Arabidopsis thaliana: one gene and its partner. The main gene of each other region encodes a partner of the protein of the gene in region 2 in a complex. Each region holds a gene or a part of one and is shown on either strand. Other genes may lie near its edges. The genes, in order: AT2G04700 and TRXF2. A codon is read from its position in the direction of its gene.

Region 1 (4,578 bases), on a different chromosome or scaffold from region 2:
GTTTGTAGCTTTTTTAGCAGATTGAATCCTATTGTTGATAAACTTTGTTGGGTTCTTGAGACTTGCTATGGATTTGCTTCATCAAGCTTTAATACTATTGAAATTGATATTGACTTTCAAGTACTGTTGGGTTCCTGAGATTTGGTAGTTCGTCAAGTTTGATTCTTTTGAAATTGAAAGGTTTTTAGGATTTCAGATTTGACACTAGGAGTAACAAATGGTTCCTCTATACTCTGTAGTTACCACTGGTCACTCTATACACTATAGTTACCTGAGATCTTTATTAGTGAAAGAGATTGTTGCATTGTTGTTATCAGCAAGGTAATGTGAGTGTAACAGTTGTGTATTACTAATTCTTTTTGCGGTGTTGTATTCCTCTTCCAGCACACTATCCGTTGATCATAAAGGCGCTCCCTTCGGGTAATCTTGTTTTCCATGAATCATATCACAATGTGTTTTCTTGCTTTGACATTATTGAGATCTCAATGGTCTCTATTTGCAGGAATGTTGTATCGTTTAGTGATGGTTTACCCGAGAAAGGTAACGGTATACCTTACTTTTACTTAACAACACTTGATCCAACTGCAAGAAACGCACTTAAAGACCAGAGAGCTTCACTTGCAATTAGTGAATCTCCTCTTGGAACTTGTACAAGAGATCCAATGAATCCTACTTGCTCTAAACTAACCCTTACCGGGAAGGTAAAAGAGTTTTTTCTTATTGACACGACAAAGAAACTTACTGTAAAATGCTTTGGTCTTTATCTTATTATAATGTTTCAGTTGCTGATATTGGAAGGAGGATCTGAGGAAGCAGAAGTAGCCAAAAAGGCTTTATTCACAAAGCATCCAGAGATGATGGGTGATTAATTGTTTCACTCATCTCTTAAGATACAGATTCATGATAGATTTGTATTATCATGTGATGGTTTTATCATTTGCAGATTGGCCTAAGGATCATGATTTCCGCTTCTTTAAACTCGAGATCATCGATATATTTCTCATCAATTGGTATGGTGGAGCTAAACCTATCACTGTAGATGAATACCTTCATGCCAAGTCGTAAGTACATTGCGTGAACCCTTTTAAAAACATCGGTAATCTCTGAGAAACCGAACTATGAAAATTTTCGAATCGTATGCCTTTTTCGCATTTGATCTCTTAGTTCTTTTGAACTGTTTTCAGGATCAAACTCGCTTCCTTTTTATAATAACTCACAAGAATCAAGCAAATGGTGAAGCAAGAAAATGTATATTGGATGAACAATAAAAAGTGTGTAACTGTTTCTGTAAATAACTCTTTGTTTTGGACCATAATAGATATTAAAATCTCTTGTAAATTACCTCAAAGCAATTTCAAAGGTATCCAAAATACTTTTCAATTTATGCAATTGAACCAAAACAAATTCTTCCACGTGAACCGAAACGAAAATCGGTTTTGATTTCTCATTTAAACCGAATAAACCAATTTTTTTTATTCATTAGTCTAAAATTTAAATTCTATTATCTAAACATAATTGAACCGGAACTTTCATAAGAGAATTGAATCCAATACACTAAAACAAAATAAAACTAGAAATTTATGTAATTGAACCACGTTGGAGTCAAATTAAAACCAAATCAGAATTCTATTGCAATTGAACCAAACTAATTTCACCAACTCGAACCGAAACCAAAACTCGATTTTTTCATTCATAATTCTACTCAAATTCTTTATCTAAACCGAATTGAACCGAAAGTTTTGAAGCAAAGTTTGAACCGATTCGATGGTCGAATTCCGGTTATTTCCGGTTTGAGGATAAGCTTTATCATTCTCTGAGAGTCTCTCTCTCTGTGAGTGGCGAGCATTGGTTTCTGGAAAATGAACACAAAAAAATATCTGAAAATTTCGATCTAAAAAGCATAAACGAATCCAAATTTCAAGAGGAGAAGAAAAATCTTCAAGTCCACGACGAAACTTTTCATCGATCTTCAAATTCCAGAAAAAACTCGATGAATCTTCAAGCTGTTTCTTGTAGCTTCGGATTCCTTTCGAGTCCACTTGGTGTCACTCCCAGAACTTCGTTTCGTCGCTTCGTAATCCGAGCGAAAAGTAAACAATTTGAATCCCTAGATCTTTGTTTAAAGTGATTGTGATTTCGGTTTTGGATTCATCTTGAATCTTCTTCTTGTTTTTGCAGCGGAACCGTCGGAGAAATCAGTAGAGATTATGAGGAAATTCTCCGAGCAATATGCTCGTCGCTCTGGGACTTACTTCTGTGTTGATAAAGGAGTTACTTCAGTCGTTATTAAGGTACTCTTGATTTCAATCGGAGCTTATTGAAATTTCAGATGAACTTGTGTTGATATGAAGATTGTGATCAACTGCTTAACTATTGAAGTGGCTTGTGTCTTTCTACTTGTAGATTATGAGTTAGTGAATGTAAACATCTTGAGGTTTAATGCTTAACTTTGTGAGCAGGGTTTGGCTGAGCATAAAGATTCATATGGTGCACCGCTTTGCCCTTGCAGGTGATTTGCTTCTTCCGAGCAATCTTGAACTATCTATGTATTCGTAAAGTTTGATCCTTTGTTGTTGATGTAGACACTATGATGATAAAGCTGCTGAGGTTGGACAAGGCTTTTGGAATTGTCCGTGTGTTCCAATGAGAGAGAGGTAAGAACTATCTTCTTCATGTGGTTGCATAATAAGCATTGGGGTTGCTATATAGTTAGAACTAAGAATATAAAGTCCTTTGGGAAAAGCTGGTTATATAGATCGTCTCCAACGTCCTTGTTGTTATTAGTTGGATAGTATTCAGCAGCATACGTATGTTGTAGTTTCCATAGAGGTAGCCGATGCTCCGTATTGGTTGTATCAAGATTGATGCAGAGAATGTATTCACATATTGCTAGGCAAGTGGAAATTGAATTAACCATAGTTAGAAAACTCCTGTAAAACTCTTGGCCTATGTGGCTCTTTTGATCAAATTCTGATACACCGCAAATTTAAGATCCTTTGTGTTTTAATAGGACTTAGTTTAGGTAGTAGAGTTCGATCAATTTTGCATCTGTTGACGGTTTATTCTGATAATACTTGCTTGTTTACATCTTGTACTAAAGTATTTATCACTTGTTCATCAGGAAGGAGTGCCATTGTATGCTTTTCTTAACTCCTGATAATGATTTCGCTGGAAAAGATCAGGTAAATCTCAAATCAAAGCTTGAAGGTTCTGTCTCCATTTTAAGGATACCATTAATGGTTCGAAGCAACTTAGTAGTATTGGGAATTTGGGAACCTATAGTATATAGTATATGGATTTCTAATTCTTTCTCTTGTTTGAATCTTGCAGACGATTACATCGGATGAAATAAAAGAAACTACAGCTAACATGTGAGAGAGCTGGTTCTTCCATGTTCATCACCTCTGTTCTTTAGGTAAAAAAAAAGAGAGATATGTCTCGCCCCAAATGCAGTCTTGTACATTGATACCCCGAGCATCTTCTTCGTTCTTCTGTACAACTCTTTCACTCTTAAGATAATATTCTTTAGTATGATCTTTTGTTTGCAAAACGATTACAAGCTATATAAAAGGATCCAACTTTACACGAAATCTTCAATAAGTAAGCTTAAAAGATCTAAAGGTTTCTCTTTCACATCTCTCAAAGCCAAAGCTTCCATAACAGTATCAATCCACTTAAATCAGTAGTTTTCTCATAACGTATTTCATTTGCTTCTTCTTCTTCTTCGGATCTCAATCTCCAAGTTTTATGTTTTTTCAAGCAGTGATATGGTCTTTACAGTAACCATTCTTTGCAACCATTCTCTCGTGATGTTCAATGTTCTATGTCGCATTCGCATGTGCCAAGTATGAACGGCCTCTATACTTGCAAGTTGTGGATTTTGGGCAAGCCATGCGTGGATGTCAAAGTATTCTTCACATGAAGAGTCGATTATTGTTGTATTCCTCTCTAGTTATGCTGATCAGAAGAAACTTGGTTGTACAATAGTGCTTCGCTATTTATCTTCAATTTGAATGAATAAATTTCCATCATAACTATCGGTTTTGGGCTTTTAAGTTCAATTTAAGCCTTTTAGGGTTTGTAATTTTGTTGTTCTGTTGTCATTGTCAAGGATGTCTTAAATTGACGGAAGAAGTCTGGAAAGAGTTGTTTTTCGAAGGTTAACATTACATTAATTTTGGTCAAGGGATACGGTAGAGAAGATCCTCTCTAGGGTTCCGATGAAATCTCTAAGAGCAGTTTGATTTACATGCAAAAAGTGGAACACTTTATTCAAAGATTTGAGCTTTGTAAAGAAGCACGTTGGTCATGCAAAAGTACAGCAAAGAAAAAAGGAGTTTATCGTAATCATGATGATTGATTTTAGGGTTTATTTGACGCACATCAATCTAAACACCAACGTTGAATCGTGTATAAAGCATGAAGCTAAATTTACTAACCTAGACGATCAGATGAAGTAGATGTAGCTTAAGTCTTTCACTACGATGGTTTGTTGTTAAACATCACGAAAGACAATGCTAAGCTAGTGGTTTGGAACCCGTATTATGGACAAAACCGGTGGATCGAGGTCGAGCCTAG
Region 2 (4,346 bases):
AAAAAACCCCAAATCACGATTGTACCCATAAATCTGGAAATCGGATTTTATCATTCTTCTCCGGAAAAACAGTATTCTCTGAATTCTAATTGACGCCAAATATATATACAGAGAGAATCAAATCGTAAAATGCAGATAAAAACTAATCGACGAAGATTAGCCAAACAAAACTTGAGTAAATTGAAATTATCCATATTTCGAAAAGCTAAAAACTACATTGCAGGATAAATGATCTTATCTTAATCGAGGAAGGAATCGTGTACCTTGGAGAGAAAGCGAAGCTTGGGCTTAGCAGAGAGACGGAAAGAAACTCTGCGAGAGCGGTTTTGGATTGGGAAGTGCGAGGAGGTTTGAGTGACTGCATAGACGGAAGCAGCAGCAGCTGGAGATGTGACTGAGAACGACGAAGACGCCATTCGTCTTCTTATTGTTATTGGTTCAGATCGGGTTTAGGTTCTCTCTCGATGAAACCAAAGAGCACAACAACAACAGTTCACTTCAGAAAGAGAGAGAGAAGATGTCGGATTCGGAACGCGTTTCTCTTTGATTATAACTCTCTTTCAGATTTCGCCACGTGTCATACTCTGATCTGTTGTTCTGTATTCGCGATTACTCCCAATCCTTGTGGACTATCGTATTTTTTACCTTGAAGAATTTAAATGAATTATTACTTTTAAATAAATATAAAAAATGTTAGGGTTAAAATCCTGTTTAGGAAATTACAATTTCTCTAAACTCTTTAGAGGAAACACATTTTTTCAGCAAGAAAAAAATCCGACTGCATCTAAAGATGAAAATGCTGTCGGTGTCTCCAATTTTTATAAAAAAATACATGAATAGATCCAAATACATTAGCCTAATATACATACGCCAAATGTATTAAATTTTTAAAATTAGGCGAGACTGGATTTGGTGAACAACTAAATGAAGATATGACTTGTTAACAATCTAGCTGGAAGTTGGAACATCCATTGAAAACAAAGCACAAGCATCGTACATGTAAGCCAAAACTATAAACAAAATGCATCTATTTCAACAATCGGGTCCCCCAAAATTAAAATCAATCTTAATTTTTAAATTTCTTATAGTTTACATGCATATTTACTTGGTTATGAACTTGTGATGCATACAGATACACATTCAGCTCATCATTCCATAACTTTCCAGCATTTATACATAGATAGTGAACAACCGATTCCGGTTAAGGGAACAGCAAAGAGTTACATACATAGAACCAAACGAATTACATGGATGGAGAATGATCCTAATACTTTACATAATGAGTGATATAGAGAGAGACTCAGCCTGACCTTGCTGCTTCAATGGCTGCAAGTAAGTCTTCATATTTTGCCCCGGTCACTTCCTTTACTACCTTGTTGTCTTTCAAGATTTTAAAAGTTGGAACCACTCTAATTCCTAGCTCTTTCGCCAATGGCTGCAAGCAAGAGTTTTTGAGTTATGAAATAAGTAACATAAATATAAAGACACATTCAGCGGAAAAAGAAGAACAAACCTTGTTGTCTTGGTTACAATCAAGCTTAAGAAACACCATGTCCTGGTACTTCTCCGATAGCTCTTTGTATTTGGGAGCAATCACTTTGCAAGGACCACACCTGCAAAGAGCCAAACGAGGATTGAAAAAAAAGAGAGGCAAACTGATTTTTCTCAACACCAAAACAGAACATTTAATAGTAAACTCATCTCAAGCATTCATGATGATGGAAATTGGAACACCTTTTATGCTTATTTATTAAATGTACATGCTCTAATTCTCCTGAAAGTCTCACTATTCATAACTTCATATCCTTTTGTATATATCATTCCTAACCAAAAAATGAATTCAAAAGAATGTGTACAGAGAAGCAGCAGCCTGATACTGTGAAGATTATATATGATACTTACAATGCTGTAACTTTTGAATACAATTGAAAGTAACAAGGTGATCATATACTAACCCTAAACTATGGAAGCTACACAATGTGAGGTTCATAGAGCTAAAAATAGGCCAAGAGAAGCAAAGGATATGGTTAGAGACCATGATATGATTATGTTGTAGCAAGAATTGGCAATTGAGAATTAAAGACATGAGGATCTGCTAAAGCAAAGTTCTCTGGTAAACAACTTAGCAATGTTATATCAACTGAGAAATCCCTAATCAACCCTAATTTCCAACGACTTATCCAAAACCTATCAAAAATCTAAGTACATGAATTTTCCAATTCTCTGAACATGCGACGGAATCAAGTAGTTCCAAACAAGAGATTGCAATCAAGTAATTCCAAAATTCGCACCAAGAAGAAGAAGAAGTGATCGAAACGTTACCACTGAGTGTACATGTCGAGGACAACAATCTTATCACCGGCGGCTTTAACAATTGGCCAGAACGTGTCCTTATCAACCTCCGTCACCTGGCCAACAGTGACATTCACTGTTTCTAAGCTACACCTCACCACACAGGAACCAATCCTTCTACCGGAATCTAAAACACCACCACCACCAGAACAGAATCCAATTTTCGTCGCGACGCCCGAATTCGGGATCCGGCAGTGCTGCTTCACGGGGGAAAATCCTCCGGCGCCGGTAGATGTAATCGGAGAATAACGGAAAGACGTCGGAGATGGAGCAAGTCGGAGAGAGAGAGGCATTGTTGAAGAAGAAGCTCGAGTCCAAAAAACAGTAGTGTGATCTTTCAAAGGAACCTGGGAGACTTTTGATTTCCAAATTTTAATTCGAGTGTTGTTTTCGTTATCCGTGAAATATTGTAGATTTTCTTACCGTGAGGTCAATAATACCCTCAAATGGATAACGAAGAAAGAAGACATTTGGGGATGTTTACGTATTTTCGGGTTCGATGGACGCGAGGTTCAGAATTATCGGAGTGTAAAATGACGATCATACCCCCACAATGTAAGGCCAAGAATTGACGATTAGTCGATTACCATTAGCAATCTGCACACTCATTTTCTTTTGGTTTAAACTTAAATCAAAATATTGATCTTAAACTGAAATTTACAACTATAAAAGCCAAATTTATATAAGCCTTTATTTGCATAATAATATAACCAAAGTTTGATAATGCTTTAAATCTTGAGATAGTCGTTGTCAACAGGATTAAACACATGAGAAGCCTCTTGTTCAATAAACCTCAACTGTCCTTTCGTAAGATGCAAGTAAACCGTCCAATCTCCGGAGCCACCGTTTTCCACCGGACTCGGCATTGTCATTACGTAACCAGCTCTGCTCCCGGGTGGGAGATGGTACGATCCAAAAACAGGCGAGCCCCACCCGAAATCAATCCGGGCCACTGGAAAACTCTTTCCAGACGAAACAACGAAAGCGGGTCCATCGTTGGATCCTGTACTGTAGATCCTTGATATAACTGGTATCGGACGGCTAGTCTCAACCCAATCGATCAAGTTCAAGAAATGGTCTTTGGTCATTGTACTCTCCAGTAACTTGTGAACCTCGTCTGTCACCCAAGACAATGGCTTGTGGATCAAGTCATCGATTCTCCGCTCTCCAAATGGAACTGAGAGGACGTTCCCAAAGTAATTGCAGTTCTCTTGCTCCATAAGTTTCTTCCTTCCATCAACAACGATGCCAAGTTTCGAGGTTTTAGTCGGGAGTACCGACTCTGTTGCAGCGTGTTTAGCCAAGAGTTTCCATAGAAACGCACTGAAAGACTCGAGTTTGGTCCTCTTACCATTAGTAGCCAGAGTTTGAAACTTTTCTAAGACATCTGCTTTGATGTAATAGATACGGCTTGTTAGGATATTATCTTGATTAGTGATTTCTTGTGGAACGGTCAAGGACGTTATAGGCATGTACAGTTTGTCTATTGAAGAGTCGATGATCAAGGGTCGTCGTGGCTTTAAGAGGGATCTTTTGAGCAAAGGTACATACGAAATCGGTATATCGGATCGAGATATCTCGGCCCACGAGACGAGGAACATGTTCATGGAATAAGCATCTGCTATACGGTGATCAAATGTGCATCCCACTACTACGCTCCCACATTTCAGTTCAGTTACCTATTCAGACAATTCAAAACAATAACAACGAGCGAAAAAAAAAACAGAGTTATGTTGTTGATTTATATAGAGCTGAATAAGTAAAAGTATATGGCTATATAGGTAATCTTTGAAGGTGTGAAATGCAACGAATAGATAGACACTTCAATTTTGTATTTTATACAGAACTAGAATCCCAAAACTTATTCCAATATATATATATTAATCAGATTGAGACATATCAGTGGAGCCAGCTTTCGTCACTACACACTATTACCTGAATAGCAAAGACTCCATGCTTTTTCATGGGAACAAACTTGGCAATACTTTGATAAG

What was found.
Region 1: the proteins of TRXF2 (region 2) and AT2G04700 are in contact, whole or in part, in a crystal structure (PDB 7C2B), measured with the Arabidopsis thaliana proteins. Residues at the interface, in NP_197144.1 of Arabidopsis thaliana: Thr106 (codon at 2,330), Gln107 (codon at 2,327), Trp108 (codon at 2,324), Cys109 (codon at 1,612), Gly110 (codon at 1,609), Pro111 (codon at 1,606), Lys113 (codon at 1,600), Val114 (codon at 1,597), Cys136 (codon at 1,531), Gln138 (codon at 1,525), Lys141 (codon at 1,516), Ala144 (codon at 1,429), Lys145 (codon at 1,426), Ile149 (codon at 1,414), Arg150 (codon at 1,411), Val151 (codon at 1,408), Val152 (codon at 1,405); in NP_001323778.1 of Arabidopsis thaliana: Thr34, Glu35, Pro36, Val65, Val68, Val69, Lys71, Gly72, Glu75, Pro86, Cys87, Arg88, His89, Tyr90, Asp91, Lys93, His116, Cys117, Met118.

What each region holds. Positions count from the first base shown.
Region 1 is NC_003071.7:1,644,971-1,649,548, forward strand, and holds AT2G04700 (ferredoxin thioredoxin reductase catalytic beta chain family protein), read left to right. Parts: upstream 1-1,836; 5' UTR 1,837-1,990; coding exon 1,991-2,090; intron 2,091-2,178; coding exon 2,179-2,291; intron 2,292-2,459; coding exon 2,460-2,509; intron 2,510-2,582; coding exon 2,583-2,654; intron 2,655-3,121; coding exon 3,122-3,182; intron 3,183-3,330; coding exon 3,331-3,375; 3' UTR 3,376-4,067; downstream 4,068-4,578. Other genes in the region: AT2G04690 (Pyridoxamine 5'-phosphate oxidase family protein), read left to right, coding at 385-420, 503-861, 944-1,065. UniProt on the Arabidopsis thaliana protein: Catalytic subunit of the ferredoxin-thioredoxin reductase (FTR), which catalyzes the two-electron reduction of thioredoxins by the electrons provided by reduced ferredoxin.
Region 2 is NC_003076.8:5,362,605-5,366,950, forward strand, and holds TRXF2 (thioredoxin F2), read right to left. Parts: upstream 2,788-4,346; 5' UTR 2,646-2,787; coding exon 2,323-2,645; intron 1,614-2,322; coding exon 1,514-1,613; intron 1,436-1,513; coding exon 1,301-1,435; 3' UTR 816-1,300; downstream 1-815. Other genes in the region: CAC1 (chloroplastic acetylcoenzyme A carboxylase 1), read right to left, coding at 264-416; AT5G16410 (HXXXD-type acyl-transferase family protein), read right to left, coding at 3,081-4,031, 4,288-4,346.